Linked DNA regions of Neodiprion lecontei. The protein of the gene in region 2 binds, or shares a complex with, the protein of the main gene of each other region. Links are inferred from orthologs where the notes say so. Each region holds a gene or a part of one and is shown on either strand. Other genes may lie near its edges.

What was found.
Region 1: 60S ribosomal protein L6 (region 2) and 60S ribosomal protein L10 share a complex: the UniProt entries of both Caenorhabditis elegans proteins name them as parts of the large ribosomal subunit. The link is inferred for Neodiprion lecontei from reciprocal best matches to the Caenorhabditis elegans genes rpl-6 and rpl-10L.

What each region holds. Positions count from the first base shown.
Region 1 is NC_060264.1:6,101,126-6,112,970, reverse strand, and holds 60S ribosomal protein L10, read right to left. Parts: upstream 6,322-11,845; 5' UTR 6,194-6,321; intron 6,040-6,193; 5' UTR 6,034-6,039; coding exon 6,011-6,033; intron 5,491-6,010; coding exon 5,185-5,490; intron 5,089-5,184; coding exon 4,758-5,088; 3' UTR 4,699-4,757; downstream 1-4,698. Other genes in the region: sorting nexin-29, read right to left, coding at 203-205; probable E3 ubiquitin-protein ligase MGRN1, read left to right, coding at 1,060-1,147, 1,388-1,506, 1,581-1,846, 1,929-2,070, 2,180-2,383, 2,490-2,732, 2,865-3,025, 3,486-3,756 and 1 more; mediator of RNA polymerase II transcription subunit 9, read left to right, coding at 6,565-6,671, 7,047-7,152, 7,238-7,378; protein YIPF3-like, read left to right, coding at 7,794-8,486; GTP-binding protein 1, read right to left, coding at 10,598-10,786, 10,882-11,168, 11,798-11,845.
Region 2 is NC_060262.1:33,926,316-33,938,558, reverse strand, and holds 60S ribosomal protein L6, read right to left. Parts: upstream 6,480-12,243; 5' UTR 6,465-6,479; coding exon 6,456-6,464; intron 6,221-6,455; coding exon 6,035-6,220; intron 5,300-6,034; coding exon 5,026-5,299; intron 4,694-5,025; coding exon 4,344-4,693; 3' UTR 4,266-4,343; downstream 1-4,265. Other genes in the region: lymphoid-specific helicase, read right to left, coding at 1-191, 481-1,085, 1,637-2,046, 2,912-3,026; two pore calcium channel protein 1, read left to right, coding at 7,574-7,679, 9,631-9,845, 9,981-10,145, 10,959-11,084. UniProt on the Caenorhabditis elegans protein: Component of the large ribosomal subunit.

The DNA.
Region 1 (11,845 bases), on a different chromosome or scaffold from region 2:
TTAGATGGTTTCTTTTTTATTAGAGAATATAATTTAAATACCATTCCGAGAATGAGAAGTTAACAGGAACTGGCGATAAATCTTACTGTTAACTGCAATAAATTGGCTCGCATAATTTATTTGCCAAATTTCATGTCATCTTTGGTCAAGGACACAAAACACACAATATATACATCGAATGGTAATCGTAATCAATACCAACCATTTAGATTGAACAACAATAGTCGAAGCTTAACGATATAAATGTCAAGGATTCACTATAATCGAAACAAAAGGTGAAAAAAAATAAATAAATAGGACGACGACGCACAAGAGTCAATCAGCGATACTCCGTGATGGTAACATTCCAATTGTCCTCCGTGAGCTACCACACAACATAACCACCATAACCACAACGCCGATAATCTGTGGTAAAACTAGTTAAAATATATCTGTCGAAGATAATCGTTTACATCGACCACCGCGATAAAATAATAATTAATGTATCACTGGACACAGAGCCATCGGGAGCAATTGAATTTTTCCACTGCGGGGGGCGGTATTCACTTGAGAGTTGAAACCGTACTCCAGATAAGTAGATCCGAAATGATTCAAAGCATTATCTCTATGTGTCCTCAGTCTTCCAATCTCCCAAAGCGTTGGACTACAGCGTGATAGAAATTACGGCAGAAAATCTCAATGTCAACAGATAACTATGGTGTTTTACATCTTAATTTCACGATACATGCTAACAAAACTTAACTGGATTTCCCCTGATATAATATAATGTTCATTGGAAATGTTTAGACACTAAGAAAATTGCAGAGATAACGCAGTGGGAAATGGAGAGACTATCGTTAACTGGACAATTCTCTATATCACCAGCGGTAGCGAGATACGTCACTTTTACTTCCTTGTCGTGTAATCTCGTGAGTTGTATCATCAATGGTCTTTACCACGCTTTGTCACCAGCTGATGAGGCCGTAGATACCTTGTTGAATGTTGTTTAGTTGTCAAAAGTGCGAACGAGTAGCGAACTTTCTTCATTTCATCTCGCATTTTCAACGAAAATAGTTGAAAATGGGCTCACTAACCAGCAGACAAAATGCTGGTGTCGAAGAAGTCGACATAGTTTCAAACCATGCCTACAAATATCCTCCGCGTTCGGGTAAAATGTTATTATTATTAAATTACGTTCCATACTTTTTAATGAAATTTTATTATGTACCTCTTCCTATTACTTTACTGTCAGAGGCAGCTTTGTCATGTAACTTCATATCTTCATAACAACAATTTTATTTATTTTTTCTTACACGATAAATACATTCTTTCCCAAAAGACAAATGACGTTAATTCTATTACACCGAATCATAAATGAACAAGATTACAAACTTTCATAAATTAACAGGCAGTTATTTTGGAAGCCACTTTATAATGGGTGGTGAGAGGTTCGATACACCTCAACCGGAAGCTTACCTTTTCGGAGAAAATGCTGATTTAAATTTCCTCGGAAGTAGGCCAACTCCGGTTAGTACTCGTGACTGTGAAAGGATTGAACCTGGACTCTTTTCGACAATATAGATTATTTTTTTTCTCCGTAGTTTCCATATCCTCCGCCTCAAGCCAACGATCCAACAAAGACTCTGAAAAGTCTCGTTAACATACGGAAGGAATCACTACGGCTAGTGCGTATCATAGACCAAACATCAACTTCGTCGCAACACCATAATAGTAAGCATTACGGAGATGGAGATACCGACTATAAACCTACCAGGTTTAACATAGAATTTACTTTCGACTGTGACGTTAGATGTGCCATAACGGTTTATTATTTTTGTACTGAGGATGTAACCGCTAATGGAGTTGTGTAAGTATAATAGAGTTTGAGAATAACCATACTGAGTATTATAACACTTCGAATTTGCATTTTATTGTTTTTATCTATTCAGGTATATACCTCGAGATCCTTCGATGAATTCTGAGACATATCATTATAAAAAGGGTACTAATCAACAGTTCAGCCAATCGTCTCATATTTTTGATCCAACTCTATACAACGAGGAAGATTTAGTATACAATCCAGACAGAGAGGTGTGATTATCTTAAAACTTGGCTTCACTTGACAAACAAAATAGTACTTCATAAAGTTGTCTATTTTATATCCTTACATCCTGACTATTACACAAGTATTACTTTCCAGGTCATTCCAATCGCAATTCACTGCGTTGCAGAGGAGGGAACGGAGGAGCCAAAACAGTCTCATACTACTATCGCTGTTATAGAAAAACATTCCGATGGATCGTACGTGTTAAAAGCATTGAAACAAAAGCTATACGTAGATGGGCTTTGTTATCTAATTCAAGAAATTTACGGCATTGAAAATAAGAACAGCGAAAATGCTAAGGTATCGCAGAAACAGTCAAGATGATATTTCAATTACACAAAACAGGAACCATAAAGTTGCATGTTGAAAAATTCACTTTTTTCAATTAATTTATTTCTCTTTGTAGCAACAAGGAAGCGATGAAGATACTGAAGATAGTGGATCTGAATGCGTTATATGCATGTGTGACGTACGTGATACATTGATTCTACCTTGTAGGCACTTGTGCCTGTGTAATGGGTGTGCGGACTCATTACGGTATCAGGCAAATAATTGTCCTATATGTCGAGCACCTTTCAGGGCTTTGTTGCAAATTAAAGCTTTGCAGAAAGCGACTGGGGCAATACTGTCCAATCCGCCACTGGCTGAGGTATTGATTATTAGTATTCATTCTGTTTTATAACTCAAGCTGTCATTAGTCTGTATGATGGAAGCCAGTTCTGACTAATTCACTTCTCTTCGTAAACCAGCAAATAAATTCGATTCTTAAACTACTTTCCAGGGTAGTTGTGAAAATATACCACCTGGCTATGAGGCAGTATCGCTCATAGAAGCTTTGAATGGCCCTTATACACCAAGAGCAACGGTCCTACCAATTGAGTCCCTGGATACTCCTGACACAGACACAGCCAGTGCTATTCAAGCTGCTGAAATTTTAAATCGGTATGTCAGTAAAATGATGAAGATTTTAATATACTATTTTCTAGCCATTATTGAAATTCAAATAACCGTCCTTTACTGCTTTCACCCTCACATGCCTCTAACAAAACTCCACGCATCTCTAAAATCATGAACATTCCATGTCTAACACATTTAACCCTTTAACTGCATCTTAAAATAATGTTCATTACAACAATAATGCACGTGTACAAAAAGAAAATATTTTCTTAAAACTAACCCTAATATTAGGTTACTTGATAAGAAAACGATAATCTAATGGTAATTTATCACTTTTTCTTGGTGACTGACGCGTAAAACTTATCAAACTTGTATGAGAACGAAGAATAGGATGGGGTTCCAAGCTCAAACTTGTATATCCATGAATCAAAGGTGTAATCTTAAAGGGTTAAATTGTATAGATTGTAGATCATAGTAGGATGGTAGAAACAAGAACTTTTTTTAGATCAGCTGAGCGTACGCCAGTTTCGAAACATGCATCTCCAAAAGATACGGAGAAGTCACCAAGAACTAGTGGTATGCCTTGTGCAACACCCGAGTTCCGAATGTCTGTTCTACTTGCAAGGGATGAAATTTCTGGTTCTCAAAAAGATCTTCGCAGTCGTTCTCCAGTTGCACGAGCCAAAGTAATTAGTCGTCCACGTGACAAAACGGCCCTTCGTACAAGAGACACATTAAGACTCGTTAATGAGAAGCAATCAACTGCTATCGATGAGGTAAAGTAGTTGTTTTGCTGCTAACAAACTGAGAGATTCATTTCTCAAATAATTTCGTCAACGTTTTCAGGGACAAGATGATGATAGTGAAGCAGAGAAACTATCTCCTTTATTGGACGCAGTTACAAGTACAGAAGCATTGGATACCAGTCTTCATCCGATGCATAACATAGAGCCTATAGATGATTTGGATATCGATGACGAATTGCAAGTAGAAAACGGAAGTGTGAAGAACGTGGATCGTACTAATGAGAAAAATTTACACTAAGTTTAAAACTTGTTACCACAAACTCGTTAAACAGTCGAACAATAATGATACCTACATCTTTCGTTGGCAAAAAAGTTTCAAAGTGCAATTTATCTGTCAGATGTATTCTTTTAACTTTCAAAGTTAAATGCAGGTAGCCTAGGGCAGCTTGAACAGTTGTGTTATAAAATTGGGCCATACATTCCCTTAATATTGTATTTTTCAAATTTTAATTAGGTAATTAGGTACTTTCTAATCATTTTACTAACAAAGTATTTTAGTGAACTATATTTCCAATTTTTGGATATTTTTTGTTAAATATATTCCTGTACATAATTTACAATTGACAACTTTATGGACGCGTAATCTCACTCAACTTTTATTTTCTATGACGTTACTGATTTGTAATGAGTTACGTAGGATATGGCGTTCTAATCATTTGTAAAATAAATTCTTAAAATCACAGCACCATCCTTTTCACATTATACCTATTTTATTATGAACTCCGAACAGATGATCATCTGCTACATCTGTAGAATACTCATACCTGTAACAATGGATCTATTATAAAAGCGAACTTTGTAATATTCACCATGGAAATGGTAAATTGGCAAAAAAAGATCTGGAATTGATACTGAACTTATAGCATGCATCTTCCTGCAACATAACGAGGTATAATAGTAAAAGACGCACAATTTTAATTAGTCGGAATAAAATTTATTGAGACCACATTTACAGAAGTGTTTGGCTCAGATTAGGCACTGGCCAGGCTTTCTCTGAACTTCTTCCACGCGTCTAGGGGTCCGTGCTCTGGAAGATATTTGACATTGCAACCATCTTGGGCAAGACGACCAGCTACCTTCAGATCTTCGTATTCGGCACGTTCGTACTTGGTAAATCCCCACTTCTTAGAAACGTAGATCTTTTGACGACCAGGGAACTTGAACTTGGCACGCCGTAGAGCCTCGATAACTACCGCCTTGTGACGGTCCGATGAGCGCACACTCATGATCGGCTGCCCGATTCGGACACGAGCAACAGTACCTTGAGGCTTACCAAAGGCTCCTCTCATCCCAGTTTGGAGCCTAGATAGTTGAACAAATTTGTAGCATTAATTTTCCATCTAAGTAGATAATATTCCGTTGTTGGATAAATGAGTTACTATTGTTCACGTAATTTACCTATCAGCTCCAGCGCATGACAACATTTTGTTGATGCGAATGACGTGGAAAGGGTGGAGTCGCATCCTAATGTGGAACTGATCTTTGCCAGCATTTTTGACCATGTATTTGTTGCAGCAAATACGACCTGCTTCTAGAGCTTCTGAGCTAAGCTGTTCATATTCGTCAGAAACCAAATGAACGCAGAGTGGAAAGTCTTCGACACATGCCTTCTTCTTTCCCAAGTCAAAGATACGAATCTTTGGGTCAGGGACACCCCGACAGAAACGAGACTTAGGATATGGTTTGTTCTTGCAGTAGCGATAACTGTAATTAAACAAAAATTCTCATCAGTATTTGATTTATAACATATTTACACAGCACTTAGATTCCCAAACCTTTATCTCAAAGCGTATTGCAACAATGACATCTGATTGTATAAATTATAAATTAAATGATACATATTGCGAAACAGGTTAGACACCAGTGTTAACGAGGTTACGTTACCATCATGTCGAACTTTCAGTTCCACAAAATTCTCTACAGTTGACTAATGGTCTGGAACTGCAATTCTAATTAGCAAAATTTTCGCGACAATTACAGAGAACTTCAAAATAAGTGAGTAAATGAAGCGGCAGTAATGGGTTAAATACAGAACAGTGCACTTCGAAGCTTGGCATACACCTGCGTTGACACAAAAAAGGGAATTTTGTTAGAGCCTCGGATTAATTCGTAGCTCGAGTCAATTAAAGCAATCGTTGGTCAGGAATAAAGGTACCACAATTATTTCTCTTTTCGATTATTTCTTTTTTTCCTAAATTAGAAAATGCGAGTCATGACGACTTACCACCTCGCTGGCCGGCGTCCCATTTTGGACTGAAAATATAAACACCACAATTATTTATCGAAAAAACTATCACTCTTAACAATTGGTAAATTAACCTAATTTCGTTCAGTAAGACTAATTAATTGCCGTTGTGTAGGATTCCTCGGATTATCAGAGATATAAAACAGCATTCGCGATACATACCTACTACCCTTGATAGCCCAAATGAAAGTGACGGAAATCAATTTTCTGGTCAAATGTCCAGGAGCTACTTCCGGCATTCGCGGTGCAACACCATAGACTATACTAACGATTACGTCCATTCTATGTCTAACTTTACAAGCTAGATGTTAAGCTCCTTGCCATCGCTCCATCTACAAAACTTGATTTTTCCGGCTTCTGTTTCTGACAGTACCGTAAAATTTTGTCAAACCTTCGTGGTGTGCTAAATGCTTTGAACGACCAGTTCGCGTGATAAAGAACGTGTGTAGATAAATTCATTTAAACTGTCTACGAAAGAAGAAAAAATTAGTGTCGAAAAAGCAGAAGATGCCGAAAAAAATTGCGGTGAAAATATGATGGAAGTTGTTGAGATAGCAGAGGAAGCGCCTGCTCGAAGTCAGTTCACAGTCGACGATCTAGACATAGAAATTCTACCGCTTGTTTACGAAATAATCCGAAGGTATGTGGGTTTAATTTATTTTCTTGTTAACACTAGCAATACCCTTTGAAATTGACATGCCAAAAATAGTACTCCATTTTTTCAAGTTATTATAGATAGAAAGTTGCGAAAGCACTCCCCATTGTCTGCCACGTTTGTCAAATTATTTATAGCTCATATGATTGCGTATCAAAATTATTAACACAAGGTACATGATTGCTCAATTTCTCAAATTGATATTCTAATTTTATTCACTTGCTCTGCGAACATTAGATCGTGACGTTGGAGTTTTACAGGATTACGTATGAACAAGAATTTACCTTATTAAATGTACAGCTAATTTGTCTCATCAAACTAGTTATGTAATGCAACAAAATTTTGATTTGTTCCACATAGCGTGGAAAAAGATCCTCATGACAACACCCAAAAAGCTAAGGACTCTCAGGATACGAGTCACAAAATACTAGATTTACAAAAAAAATTGGACTCTGCACGATCACAGGTGTGTATACTCGACGATAATCATGCTTAGCATGACTAAATATTCGTTCTCTGTAATTTAATAAACTGAAACCCATTGCTTTTAGATAAAAAAATTGCCTGGGATAGAATATAGCAAAGAGGAGCAATTACAGAAGCTAGAAACACTTCGCAGGCAGCTCAAGTTGAAGCGAGAACTACTACTCAAGTATCGTAATATGTGTACATTCGACGTACCCAAAGTATAAATAATTAGACTTTCATACTATAATTCATTATGGTTCTGCGTTTTCTTATGCGATACTTGGCCAACAACGAACAGCTCATCAACAAATTAGCAGATTCAAAACCTATAAGACGAGCTGCTCAGCTGGTTGTTTATTTTATGCAACGTTCTTCCCAGCACGGTATACCATCCAGTCCACAGGAGCTTGGCAAGCAATGGGCAAGTTTATTATCGCGTTTCTCATCTAATCTCAAAGAAGGAATTGCAGACGCTAAGAAGGATCAGGAAAAGAAACAATCTAAATAACATATATTCTAACGTAACCAAATTACTCTCCTGCGATTAGTTATCCATCTCAAAGACTTCGATGAATCAGTTTTTTTTTTTTCTGAATTGTGAATTAGATTTAATAGCTTAATATTTCCCATTGGTTTACCATGGCGTACAAAGGATCAGCCGTTATATTGGTGCCTACAGATTCCAAACAATATTGCGTTAAAGTTGATGGCCATGTTTCGTTTGTCAATCGTTATATGAAAGTTACACCCTACGATATTGGAAGACGGATTATAGCTTCCCTCGGACCTCCTTGTAACAAGAAATTTAGAATTGAAAATATAGATCTAGTAGGACCCCTCCTAGCAGTCTTAATTTTAATTGCAATTCTAAATTACGGATATAGGATTAAAGAGCCGTCGGCTACAGATTTAACTATGGCTCCTGTAACTTCAGTACTGCTATATATTGTTGTGAATCCCTGTCTAGGTTTTGTGCTATGTAAATTGGCACGCGCAAGTATGGTATTCTGGGATTTAGTTGGGTTGTTGGGCTATGCCTTGTATTCTCATCTCATAACATTAATTCTGAGCCTTATGATATATCAAGAAGAAAGTAACGCCTTCTTTTTCCTATGTTTACTTTCATTTGGAGGACTGAGTGCTCTTAGAGTATGTATCCTTCTTATAACTAGTATACCCAAACCTGCTGCTCGACTTTTAGTTTGTTCTACATTATTCATAAATCACTTGTTATTCTTAATTTTCTTGCACTTTACCTATATGCATCCAACGTTTATATACGGCAGAGGCAGCGACAAACGTGTACCCACAAAAATACATACAAATTTGTAAGTCAAATTTTTAGAGAAACCTACAAAATAATAAGCATACTTGTGAATTCTTCAATATCATTTGGCATCAATCGGCTTACCAAGTAAATTAACTTTTTATATTGCGTTGATAGTATCTACAGCCAATTGTGAGCAGACTTTGTAGTTTGTGGAAAATGTTTCAAATTTAATTGTTTTTAGACTAGATTACAACATTTATAATCCGTTTGGATTATCCAATGTAATTTTACTCATATAAAAGTGAATTTGCATCATATTTGTATATTTTTATCAAACTTTACTAAAGCCTCTTGCAGAAATTAACCAGCTGTGAAAAAAAATTCTTCTTTTAAATCCAGCAAGGATTATTCTGCCACAAAATATAGGAAATATAAGTCACCAGTGAACTACGATGTAAAAAGAGAAGTTATTTCCAATTTCAGATTGTATTATATGGCATTTATTTGATATTACAACAAGAAAAACACCAGAATTACGAGTATTAAGATCAGTCCAGTTTTACTGAACATGAAAATCAACTTCTTTGAAAATTATCTTGTTAGTTCGATAAAGTATCGAAATTATAAGTTGCATAATACAGTACGTACGTTTACAGTATTCTTAGAGTTTTATCCGTTGTAACAAATTGGGCAGATGAAACCTAATGTAGCACACGTGATTATTGTTAATACTTTATATGAATATTGAATACTTTCACAAAGAATCAACATTAGAAATCCAACCCATAGATCAATCTTATCTTCTAAAATTTCTACTATCTATATAGTAATATTAATATTAACATCATAATCAGTCAAAGAAAATCATCTGTCTAACAAGCATTCTCGACCACCTATTCAATCATTTGAAAAATAGTACAATGAATTACAAAGTATTAAACTCATAGCCCTTACATGTGTAATATACATATAGAAACACAGTTTCATCTTTAAATTATACAGTCAGGACAAGCGCAAAAGAAGTAACTTACAGTGAACAGAAAAAAGTAATTGAAGCCTGCATTGATACCAAAAACAGCTGTTTTCACCCCATATCTAATGATGCTATAGCAGTAAAGGAGATGTGAAATCAATACATATTATTCACGGATATACTTTCGACGTAATTCAGCCAATGTCTGGAAATGTCAAAAAATATATATACAGATTTTACTCTCACCTCAACTGTTTGCGTAACATGTCTGGAAAACACAAACATACTTTCCTGAAATTCGGCAATTAAAAATTATTCTTTAGGAGTAATGGAACTATGTAAGAAACTGCTCAGTACAACAAAACGAACTAATATATCGATTCAATGATCGAGTGGAACACTATAGATGGTTTACAGAGATGGGGTGTCTTTTTCCTGGATAGGTTCGGAGTATGTTATTCTTAGATTTTAAACTGAGAAACACGCAGTTGTAAGACTGTGTTTTCGTTTGATAAACAATTCGGATTGCAATTTTATATCTGTTGGAAAAATTTTGCATACAGATAGTCTATTCAAAAAAAGTAGATATGTAATGTATATCTTTAATATGACAAAACTGGAATATAATTACTAAAATTTTGCTACATGTGCCTCGAATATTTCAAACTTTTTTGTGTTCGGATTTTAAATACATATTTATATGTATATAAGTATGTGATATGAAATGTTAAATTGTAACAGTCCCGTTGACCTTGAAAGAAAGTTCTAACTAGTGCTGCTATGGGAAAGGAAAAGCAAGCTTTAAAAAACAGAGCGAAAATTAAGATACAGTTTATAAATTTTATTCACTTCTTTTTGTCCTATTTTAGAAGTCATATTGAGTCAATTCCTAACTGTTTTGTTATATTCTCGGTTAAATCAGAGTCAAATCAATTAACACAACGCTTTGTGAAAAAGAATGATGAAATCAGTCTGTGAATAAACGTTTCATCGATTAATATTGTATTGATATCAAACAAAAAAATATCGTGAATGTCTAGGCTGCTATCAAATTTTTACCAAAATTTATCAGAAGAAAATTTTCAAATTTCAAGCAGCACTGGTACTTATAAAAAAGAATAAAATTTTGTTATCATTGCTCTATTACATCACATGGTAATATTGCTAAGGAAATATTTATACTTTGTACACAAATTTTCTTTAAACTTTGGCTGGAGGGTTTTGTTCAGATAAAGGTTGTACATTTCCGCTTGTCGCGTTGTGGGGTCGTCCTCGTCCCCCTCTTCGGCCTCGTCCCTTTTTGCCGCCAGAGCCCGATCTTTGTGGCATATTTTCGCGCTTATCAGCAGACACTTCGAAGGGTGAATTTTGGTCTGCTACATCTGGCATCTAAAAGTTCATTGTCGAGAATGGAAATAAAACCAGTTAAATTGTGGTAAGATCTATTCGAGTAAATTTTCTGAGAAATAGCTTTATCAGCTTACTTGTGTAAGAGGCATCATTGCAGAGCCATTCTGACGACTCTGCTGTACTTTGTTAGGCTTATTGCCCCTCATTGTTTGCGAACCAGTAGGTCCAGAGTGGGGTATGAGTCGTAAAACATTGCCAACGGCTTTTGTTCGCCCTTCCCTGAAGACCATACGTTGCCCTGGTTTTATATACTCAGGATGTTTAATAAATTTAAAGTGCACCAGAGCTTTATCTCCTGTTCTGAGACAGTCTTGCGACATTGTTAGAATGGAAGCTGTTTGTCTTATGCTGCCGCAATGCACTGCAACAAAAAAAAATAAAGATTCTTACAATGATTTATTACTACCTATCTCCTGAAGTGTTTACAGTGAAACTTCTCGATAGCGGACACTGGGACCGGAAATACTATCCGCTATTAAAAAGTGTATGTTATTCAGAAAATGGTTCATTTTTTATTACACAAATATGTATAAACCTGTATAAACATGTAATATTTCAACGGACCAAGGTACATAAATGAATAGATGAATGTAAGTATTCAGAATACATACGCTGTAACAATCGAAAAAAACATTTTTTTTATAATAAAACATATAGTTTGTTAACTTATGAAAGAACGATTTCGTTAAAGGTAAACATGTAGCAAGCTTCAGCGTGCGCGACGGCACATCAACAACCAAGAGTTCGGAAAACAATGAACAAACTGAAAATAAAGTGTCCGCCACTCAGAAGTCTTTTCATGGAAAAATGCATTCCCAGTAGTGTCTGCATCCGTTATTAGAAGGTATATTTTCCAATAAAAGGATGCATTTCTGTGAGGGATTTCTAACTTGTCTGTTATAAAGAGGTGTCCGTTAAGACAAGTTTCACTGTATACGAACTAAGGTCTTGTGGTAATGTCAAGAGTAGATTATTTACGATACAACATACCCATAGCCTGATATCTTGAGCTGATAGTAGTAGGGTGATGTAGTACCA
Region 2 (12,243 bases):
GCTGGAGGATCCTTTTGGTACCTTCAGCATCTTGTAGTTCTTTAGCATCGAACCAGGATTCAAATACTGCTAGGTCATTGAAAATTTCTGGCAACAAGAAATTCAACAAAGACCATAACTCTGACAAGTTATTTTGAAGTGGTGTACCAGTTAGCAGAAGTCGATTCATGGATTTGCATTTCTTCAGGACCCTGAGTAAAACAAACCAGATAAATGACAAGAAGAGAAATCTTGGATTTCAAAAAAAAATTTGATATAATTTCAAATTTTGAGTAAACTTGAAATGTTTTTTTGGTCGACCCCACTTTTCATGAAGAAAATTAGTATTAAAAGCCATGTGCATATCGCGCAACATCTCTCTTGGTTTCCTTTGCAGTTTATTTATTTATGGATTTACAAGTAGTATGCTATAATAGGCCAATGACAATTATAGCAACACTCTATTTGAAAAGACATTATATGCAAGTTAGAACCACTTACTGTAGTAGTTGGCATTTGTAGTTTTTAACTCTGTGACCTTCGTCAATGATGATGTACCTCCATTGCTGACGTTTTAATAAATTTTCCTCTTGCATAGGTACTTCGAAGGTAGTCAAAACCACTGGTTGTGTTTTGTATCCATCAATATCAAAGTTTTTCTGTTGGATCGACCGGTAATGTTTTGTCCTCTCTTCTGGAGGTCCGTGTAACAAAACAACAGGGATTTTTGGAGCAAAGTTTTCAAACTCCATTAACCAATTTGGAATAGTAGAAAGTGGTGCAATTATCAAGTAAGGTCCTGGTATTTTCTTTTCTATCAAGTGGCAAATCAACGCAATAACTTGAATAGTCTTTCCAAGACCCATCTCATCTGCCAATATACCATTTACACCATTCTCGTACAGCACACAAAGCCATTTTAAACCTTCGATCTGATAGTCACGCAATGTGCCGACAAAATATTTCAACTGTACAGACTCAACATGTTGGTCCTTGTCTGGATAATCTGTTTTTGCTATGTTTCCGTCTGTTTCCATCATTAGTTCATTTGCTATTTCTTTTTGACTGAGATTCATTTTTTGTCTTTCTTCTTCTTTATTCTTGACCTGTAGGTATATCAAATTAGCAAATCTTGGAGAAAAAAAATATGCTAGTATAATACGTGGCATGAAAATTGCTCTACCATTTTTGGAGAAGTAAACAAAGACAAACAATTATAATACATATTCAAGCGAGAAACCAACAGGTCTTTAATAATAATTGACTATTACGTGATTATTACAGTTAAAGTTCCATCTTTATCATATTTACAACCTTGATTGATTGAAAAATTATAACAAAACTTTCAGACAAATTACACAATTTTATTAATTTCATTGGAAAACCTAATTTTACATCACATGTATCACCTTGAGAGCATTTTTGTATTTTATGGTAATGTATATCGATAAATTCCACTTATGTACTAGCATCTAAAAGTTACTAGTGATGAAATGCACAGAGTTGACTCTTGATATTTTGAAAAAAATTTATTGGTTGGGGTTATAGGATACAGTACACACTGCGCAAACAATCCATACAAATAAAAAGCGATGGTGAATACGCACATGTACAGCACAAGAGGAGCTATAAGAATAGTGCATCTGGGAACACTCACATCTTTCGCAGTCACATATTCCCTTATGTCATAATCTTGATTTAGTTTCTGAGCCTTCTTAGTAATTTTTTTTGGTGGTGAGTTCTCATCGCTTACTTTGGGCTTACGTTTATTTCCTGGTTTCTTTGATTCCTGTTTTAAAGACTGATCAATCTTTTGAACCAGATACTTCGAATAAAACTGGCTACGATCGAGCAAATGCATCAAACGTTTGTAGCGAAATTCCACAACTTCTTTTTCATACTGCTCGGCAGCTAAGCGTTTATTTTCTGTCTCAATCTCTAGGGTTCTTTTACGCTTTCCCTTCGTAGATCCTTTATAGTCAATCTTAAATGGTCCATTATTAATTTTGACATCATCAGCAATTTTGCTTATTGCCAATGTTTCGTCCTTTGTAACACTTGTGGCTTCTAAAGATATTCAAAATAATGAAAATATTGAGGGATTAATGAGAGTAAAAGCTTGTGGAAAAATATATTTCAAAGTGAATTTTTGAACAATGGAAATGAGTGGAGAATTTTAACATCTACCAATGTGTGCAGAAGCAAATTTAAGTTTTATTTCTAAGGCGAAAACAAGAGTAGATTATTTTTGGCCAAAAATTATATTAATCGGTACACTACAAAGTCTTTGAATGTACGAGACATTGAGATGGAAGATAAAACTAGAAAATTTAAAAATTAATAAAGGGTCAGGCGAGAGAATTTTTGTTAAACATTATTTGGATGCAAGTAATAATTTTCTGCTTTCAGATTTATCCTCATTATTCATTTAAGAGGTAACAGTGATAGTTAAAGACTAGTAATAAACTAGCAATATAGGAGAAAGTAAATATAAGCAGTTACACATTTCGCATGTGTAAACAGACAAATAGAAGTCAAAGAGGATTACTCTATCCACCAGCTTAGAGAGTAAACTTAACTGACAAATAGAGCCCGTATCTACCAGAAATATCGTAGCAATGGGTATTCCCATAAAAAAAAATTTGCGATTTCATATAAACACCTGCCTTTAACGAGTTCGCCAAAAATTCGTGTGATATGGAAGAAAAACTGCAAGCCATTTAAAAATGGTTTATACATGACTAGAGATTTAAATTTAATAACCCTGAAAATTCACACGGCTCACATCTAAAAGTATGCAAAACTACCGCAATTTTGTCTGTCCCTTCTGTTTATCACTGACGACACTCAACTGTTGTTCGCCGTTCATTAATTCTATACCCATGCCATGTCGTGCTTTAATTGCCATAAGGTAGAAAAACGTGTACAATACCTGCGGAAGCTACGGATCCTGAAATGCTAGCAAATCCAGAATCGTCAGCAGCTCCGACATATTCAAGATTTTCAGCAATGTCTTGCAGCTTTGTACTATGTAACTTGGCACTCATATTGACTTCACATCAAACAACAAACGAGAAATAATTTACCTGACAAAATATACGATAAATTGCAAACACACTCCACGAGGTCTACATAACAAGTGAGGCCAAGTCCACTGCCTGAACCGCCTGAACTCTTGCCGGCACTCGCGATGATGTTATGCGGCCGGACACGATTCCCGCCAAATGTTGCGTCGTACGCTAAGCACAAAGAACCCAGTGATGTCACTTTGAAGTAATTTCGGTAACGTACTAGCCAATCAGAACACTGCATCCACCAGGTCCGAACACTGAACTATTCGAACAGCGGAATGCGCGTTCTGTCTACCGAGTGAAGTAGTTGATACGGGGGTGAACTATCTCTGTCGGTATCACTTATGGTATGCCTATAGGATAGAGTTCAGGAGGTAGATTCATCACTCGAGGACATTCGTGGTAAGAATGTGGTTGTCGGATGTTTCCGTCATTTCAAAAGATGGTGTAATTTTACACATAAATACCTGTTTTGGCTATCCCACCCAAGGACATCAACTATTTCGTTCAATCTTTTTTTTAGCACCATTAGCTTGATGATAGGGTAGAGATTAACCCGGAAGTTTGTTCACGTAAAATAATTCACAAAAAAAAGAAACAGCCTTCTAACTGCAATCAGAAATCAACAGTGATTGATTTGAAGATACAGGGCGCTAGGGGGCTCGGCAATTTAGAATTCGTTACAGGTTTCAAGTATACGATTAGTTTCCTTTTTTTCCAAAAGTTTCGGGACATTTCTATGAAATACCCGAAGACTTACAGATAGTCTAATCTACTAGACGCTCTGAAAATGTCGAAATCATCTTAACTAACAAGGTTTCTTTACATGTAAATTGGGACTTGGCTATCCTAATGTTGCATCAACACATTGCTGTCAACTGTTGAAAACACTCTATAAATAAATCGTTTCCAACATTTGATTAAATTGACTTGGTGATAATACTGTTAATTGTAATAAGTTTTTCATGTTCTCTAATAAGATGTGGAAATATTTTTTTATTTTTCACGAATGTAAACTAATACATATTCGGATAATTGTATTAAAACATGATCCAATTTAATTTTACTGTATTTAACACAAACCTTGTGTTCCAACTTGGGGAATTCCACGATTCTTCCGACCATTTTACGATCGCTGGTCACACTGATCCACAAACTGCGGATTTCAGGAATATCAAATAAAGAAACTATCTGCAAATAAATGCTCCAAGCCTATGACAAGTTTTTAATTTTTTATTATTCCACATGTACAACACTGCGGTGACATACACATAAATGATGTATCAAATGGATTTAAAATTTCATTCTGTGGGGATATTGGCTGCTTCGAAGACCGAACATCGCTGACAAATAAGTGAAGAGCAATTTTTTGTCCTGGTGTTTCTTGATGGCTCCAATAATTAGTGTATCCACAGTTTTCTGGTCGATCTTTCTCTGTTCAGAAGGTTTGTAGTCTACTTTCTTTGTGCTGAAGATATCTCCCTCTTCTTTCTTGGCACGCTTGTTCTGGGTCCTTTTGTAATATTCGTCCTTTCCTACTTCTTTGGGTAGTTTCACACCAGAAAGGTCGATCTTTGTCGATGTAGCTATCACGTAATTCTGGCTAACACGACGTAAAGGACAAGCGTTGATTAGGAATGGACCTGTAAAATGTTAATCGTGTGACAATTTATTCACAAAATGATAATGGCAATAAAATACTAACAGAAAAGATAAAACTAACTCTGTTTACTTCAAAGTAGTTCTAAATATATGAACTAAGACAACTTTACTGCACACTTTTTTGAACACTATAAATGTCTGAAACTGCGTCATCTGTCGTTTCAATCGTATGTGTTAAAATACACACAAAACACTAAGGCCTTATTTTTCTGAAAAAATAGAGGAACTATTTTCTACTGCAATACATAATGTTTATTCGAATGAATTCAATTCTTCTGCACTTGTGAGGAGCACATATGGAACGCCCACTTACCAGTTACTAACAAAAGACCACTACGAAGCTGCTTCAAGAAAACAACTCGCTTTCCCTTGTGGGGCCCAGCCAACAAAATCAGGATTGTACCAGGAGTGATGGTGGGTCTGAGTCTGCGAACATGTTCACGGAAAGTTTTCTTTGCATGGTGAACAGTGACTGGATCAGCAGTAGGGTAGTTCTTCCTCCTCTTCTTAAGCAGAACTAATCTGGTACCTCCATTTTTATCACCACCAATCTTCTTTTCAATGGTCACAGGCTTCTTGGGCTTTACCTACAATGCAGGTGATTAGTTTACATTGGTGGTTTAGCAAAATTTCATTACAAAATCAAATTATAAATTGGGCCGATTAATTGCCTTAAATCAAAGAACATCCGATAAACCATTATTTTGATTGAAAAATTGTTACAATATCGGATTACAACAGTGTGAGAGAAAAATGATGTTTAAGCAATGCTAAAAATATACAAAGTTTCTAGAGAACTTTCTCACAGTTAAGCTGGGTTACTAAAACCAATGTTAATAAAGATTTAGAAAATTATGCGTTAATGCTTGTACGACTCTTGGCAATTAAATGTTGCGACTTCACACCCACTTTGTTTAGATAAACAACAAATCGGTTGGTAATTTCATCGCTTTAATTTCCCTTTCATTAAATTATGGAGCTATAATGTGCAAGAACCACCTTGGATTAGAAGGGATTATTACCTATAATATTGGTCAGATCAAATTATTTTTTTATGAGTTTTTAACTGATACCAGCATCAACTTTCATAATATTCAGTATCAATATGAAGAATTATTTGGAAAAATTACAAGACTCAAGTTTTTAAAATTTCTTTGAGTGATAGAATTTGCTATTGTTTAATTTTCAAAAAATATTAAAAAAAATTTTTAGCAAATTGATAATCTGACGCAAGTTTTACCTGGAATACTACAATATGGAAAAAACCTAAGTGATGGCTTTTTCTACATTGTACATTTACTAAATTTCAAACATTAACTTACAGTTTTCTCGGTCTTCTTGCCAATGAACTTGTAAAGAGCTTTTTTGTGATACATTCGAGTTCGGCTGAACCTGTAGACTCCATTTCCTAAATCACGATTTCTTGGTTTGCCACGGACCTTGCGTCCATCCTTTTTGGCCTCAGTAGCCGCAGGTTTGGCCGGAGCCTTCGCTTTAGTATCCACCATCTGTAATAAAATTATGACTCAATCAGAACTGAAACACTTTAAAAACCCAAAAGTAAAATAGTCGTAAAAGTGCAGTAGGATATGAAAAGTTTCCTGTATGGTCTAATGGATCTTGATTCAGTAATGAAAACACATCACAGAACTGTTCAGTTGAATTGTAATGACACGTTAGGCGATGCACACTGTAATCTAGGGGAGAGGTTATGTTTAGTTAAAATTAAGACAAATGCATTAACTCATTCATCTCAGAGATTGGAGATCACAGTTTTTATATAGACTCTTGGATACAAGATATCACGTACGAAATTGATGATATGTATATAAAAATATCGAAACAAAGAATAAACAGCATTTAACGTGAGGAGCTAGACGTATCGACGTCCGTGTCGACATGCCATATAAACATTTTAACTGTTGATGCAAAAAATGTGACGAGTTATAGAAATATTAGGCGCAAATTGAAGTAGGCGAATTAAACTGATGTTATTTGATATAACTCCCAAACCAGTACGACCAAGAACGTTAGATTATTTGGATTCTCTGAAGAAAATTACGGCGGCTGATACTTACGTCGAAGCCAGCGGATGGTTGAAAGAGCCTCCATCTGCCGAACGAGGCTGGAAATAACCACTTAGGGCACACGTTTCCGGTCTAAGCGCAACGCGCGTTTTCTGCCGATTTTAAAAATTATTACACATATTCCATGCCAAACCCAACATATAGCTGCATACTTGGCATCAATGAAGCCTTTTACTGTCTTAACATTGCTACTTATAGTGGCTAGATATTTGCAACAAACGTTTGTACATTTTCGTGTTGCAATAGAATTAATAAATGTTCCAAAACGTAACTTTCAGCGTTAACTGACTGTCAGTTCTGATTCAAGCAATGTGAGTTACTTTCCTACGCCTTAGCGTGGTTTTCAATTTGGTAAAAACACTGTTAAATTAAAAATCTTCATTGCGGTGCTATTCAATTGCTGAACCAGTATGGACCAACATTTTCAGCTTGGACTTTACTCTGATCGGAGCCATGATCGGAGATAACGCAGAAGGCGAACCAATCCCGAAGCCTTTTTAAGCGGAATGCCCGAAGTCCGCTGATGTGAAGTCAGCCCCGGCTACGGGGGGATATCACGATAACGGCCGAATCTCCGTTGTCTGGCTTCGGGTTAAAAAATTCTCGGATTAGTCATCTGCAACATATCCGCGAGAAAACCACTCGTCGTCAGTCGCGTCGCAACTCTGAAACAGCGTAGGCAGGAGTCAGGTTTGCGGTGACTCGCGAGCGCGCAGCCACTCGAGAGAATCTCGTTACCCGTGCGGCTGTCAGGAGTCGAGGCTGCCAACGAAGATGCCCTCGTCCCCGAGAAGTCCTGGATCTGCGGACGGATACCAGCGTTTCGACGATGAGCCAAACGTCACTTTACGTTTAGAGGGTTCCTACGGAGCGAGTCCAAGTAAGCAGTTGCTTTAATTCCTCCGTTACGCGGGACGTGAAAACGAAAAGAAACTTTTACATTGGATTAAATTGGCAATTTGCTCCAAAAGATATTTATTATACATACTCGAACATGATGCAGTAGTGAATGATTTAGTTTCTTCAATTACTCTTTTCTAAATCTCCACCTCGAACCGGATCTAAACTTGTGATCTCGGTTTTCATCTCATTCCAAAGATATGACTTAATTATGTGAAAAGTACAAAATTTTTTTCACATCTATTAGCTGTTCAATAAGTACTCTAATCATATTTGAAAAGTTTGATAAGATAGCTCTTTTTGCAGATAGATTTGGATGATGACTTTCTTTTATTAGTTTTTTTATTACGTCTGTGTGTCTATTCAATTGCCAGGAAATGTTAAACTCTACTCTTATACAGTTAAAGTTGTCAATTGGACACGTATAATGAAATGCTAATTATTGTCTTAAAATTCTGTCCTCAACCGAAATTATTATAGTTGATAATTACTTTCAATGATAATACAGCATCTGTATTTATTTTGCAGTGCGACTTTGTGTGGTATAGTCTGGTTTTATTTTTCCACAAATCTGATATCAACCTATACATATAATAATTCAAATAACCAAATACTTGGTAGATTAAAGCTCACTAATATATTAATGCAAGTCACCACACATTGCTTAGACTTCTGATCAAGGTTTTTTATGGTATTATTCACAATATTTTGCAATATCCTTCCACATAATAATTACCTACAATTTAATACATAAAATACAATGAGCTTGTGGTAATATTTTAACTTTATTATTGCAAAATACGAGTTCTGTTGAGGTATGAAAAAAATGTGAGCATGTAGACAGGAACCGATATACACTGACTCCTGGCCGTTTAAAAACAGATGATCTGATGCGTAATTTAGACAATTCAGCAAAGTTTTATGTCAAATAACGGTTCAAAATATTCCAATTAACGAACCATCAGAATCAAAAATCATATCGCAAATAAATAGTTAGTTTACATTTTGGATTATGTGTATTATCTAACAGAACTAAATTACACACTGCATGGTAATTTTTAATTTCATTAGTAGTAGCTAAAAATAGTTTTGTGTTCTACCTCAGGCTTGGATGTATTTCCAGTAGTTAATACTCTGCAATTTTTTTTGTAAATATGGAAGTTGCGCCCACTTACTTGAAGCAAACGTGTCAATAGAGTGACTATTTTTCAATATCTCTATTCCTGTACAAAAGTACACGAGTGTTAAATTTTATCTCTATATAATCTGTTTCTATGCTCAAATATTTGATAAGAAAATGTTTGCCGCACAACTTATTTCAAACTGATAGAAACATTCGAACTAAGGCTTGTCTGTCTCTAATTCCAAACTATACACGTACAGTATGACATCATATACCAGCATCCGATTCATGTTCTCATGAATATGTAGACGATATTAATGTTTATAGAAAGTCGTGTACAAACTTGTAATTTATGAAATGTAAGTATCCTAACAGTGACTAAAAACAAAAAAAAAATACCATGCCAGATTATATTCCTTGTGACTAATTTGCCATTAATACAAAATGTGAACTATGTAAATACAGTAATTTAAAATTCCGTCAGTAAGAGTTGTTTTAGTTGTTACAAATAATTTTGACCGTGATCTTATCATAGACCCACACAATATCAATTTAGAGTTTCCATTCTTAGCATTGTGTGTAGGATGTAATAAATGCAGGCTGATGTTAACATGTAGTAAAATGTTGTTCTTTTATTTTCTTTCCTTTTTTTCTCTTTATTTCAACTACCACCTCCATCAATCTGGTATCGGTCATCGCCCTGAACATCGTGGAAATCATCTGCCAGTGCACTTAACCATGGAGGAAGGCTTTTGCTGCTAACGCATGCTTGTCTCATTCCTGCTGCGTGCTTTCAATTTTTTTCTAGAATATGGGTCTATGTTGTCTTGCGCTTCTTCAGACGGCAGAATCAGGATGACCCCAAGGGAGAATACGGATACTCCGAATGAAATCGGTCACAGAATTGGTGCAACGGATGGTGAAACTTTGTCAGAAAATGCGGCTTTGGCGAGGTACGCGATTGGTATAGATGCGGACGTACACTGGGAAATGAATTATCATGAAGCAGCCATATTTCTTGAGGTAACTTGTGACGAAGAACGTACTCTCATTCAAAAGCCATGATTCCATATCAGTATTATAAATATTCACGTTGAGAGAAATTGTAACTCACACCTGGAGAGTTTGGTGGCTTCAGAAAATTTTATTTGTCCACAGGAAGGTCGAAATAATGAGAAGTTTGACTCTCATCCCAGACATCCAGAGGATTTACCAGCCTACCTTTTGGTGCATAACAGCTGGTATTATGGCCTTGACCTATTGACTTCCCTCATACTTTTAGCCTTGGCATTTGTTGAGGAGCCAGCAGTGCCTCTTTTCAAGGTCAGAAAATCGTTTCAAGTTGTTTATTGTCATAATTATTACTCTGTTTTATTATTGAAATTAAATTTGTAGAAATTTTTACACTGCATTTCAACGATTTTAAAGCTAGCAGCCGAAGTTAGCGGCCAAACCTGTTAAACTTTTTGGAAGTATAAAAATGTCGTTCAGTTTTATCCTCATAATTCTATAAAAGTAATGTGAATTCAAGGTATTTTACAGAATTTTTATCATCGGACTTCACCACCTTATTCAAATGAACATAAGAACGTTTGGCTGCTAAACTTGGCCGCTAGTTTTAGCCTCGTTGCATCTCAGGTAACTTGACAACTGGATGTCTGTTCACTACCAAGAATTATTTTTATATCTTGCATTCATTGGAAAATATTTGTGTAATTATGGCCATACTTTATACCGGACTTAAATTCATGACTATAATTCGAAAAACTTGGAATAATTTTGTAATAAGTAAGCAGACCCTGAAAATATATGGTTAACCATGGATTGTTGCTGTTTCATGTGTGTACAGAGTTGCACACACACACATTTAATTCATGCATATTAAATATTAGCTATTATTACTCACAAGGTACAGTCAGTAGTTTCATTCCGTTTCTTTTTTGTTTTCACTTTCCAAGTAACAATATTGAAATTGGAATTTTTTTCCTCCACCATATTATGATACCTTGTAAACCTTAGATCGTGAGTCATTCAAATTTGATCTCTACCTTTTATTGGTCTTACCTGAAGCTGCAGATTGGAGGTGCTTTTATTCTATGCATATGCATAATGATGATTTACCCCTTTTCCGGATAGCTACCCGTCTGGGCGCATGGATCTATCGAGCTTCTGGCTCTAATCATAATAGGAATAGAATTAGCATTGAAACTGAGATGGATCGGATGGGGAACAATTTTGAAACACAAACGCACAATGCTTAAGGTATATATAAAATAACCAGACACTCGCTTCTTTTTCATTTGCCATACATTTTTTTTTCATAGCCCTTCCATCTCATCAATACAAATTACAGATCATACTGTAATTGACTGATACAATTATTTGTGAGATGACATACATTTTTCTTTTCGCTATAATGCAAAGTACTGAAGCAGTCCAAAAAATTTGTGGCAGTCTTTTTTTCAGTCGCTTCAACTCAAACTTATTGAACGTAATAAAAAATTACAGAGGATTATAGTTATGATATTCTTTGGATTGTTATTAAATAAAAAATTTCTTATTAGAGACTGCAAAGTTGTCAGTAGACATGATATATAAACTTTCAGTTAAATTTTTTCCCTACAGAGTTTCCAATTCATAAACTAAAATCTTGAAAATCTTCAGATATGTTGAATTAGCTCGAAAATACTTTGTTTCTCTTTTTCGTTCTGTAATATCGATATTTTAAATATATCATTCATATTATGACATACGCATAATATGTTGATATACCTGTTATTATTCAATGTTCATATATCAAACGTCCATGCTTCACTCTGCATTACAGCTGTCTGTTACATAACAAAAGAATGAGCGTTAATACGCTTTATATTAATACCAGACTGATCCGGTGCAAAGCTGACGTATGGAACATCAGATTACGATTTACATGACGCATCAACAATTCGTTCATGTAGTACATACGAATATAACAACTGATTCGAAATTTTATGTTTTATAGACTCAAAGAATAGAAAATGAAAGCAATTTACTCAACCTACTTTTCAGATATCATTTATTCAAGCTTATCAATACATTGCGCTTTAAGAGCTACGATGTGAGCAAGTCCTTATTAGAATTCTTGGAACCTACTCAGATAATTAAGAGATTTTTAATATCAAAGTTCAAAATCTGTATTACTCACATGTAAACCAAAAGTGATCTCATTGTTAATTCGGGTTTTTCCCGGTTGTGTTACTGTTAGGGTATTGGAGAATTTTCATGCGTTCATCTGTGTCTAGTAGTGTTAGTGTTATCACCTTTGCTCTCTCTTGCAGTTATTCAGCTCGATAGTTGAGTAACCGCTTGTCTGGGAAATGTGATATAACTATCATTTTAATAGCAGAATAAGAGGAAGGGGCAAAATCAGTGCACACTATAT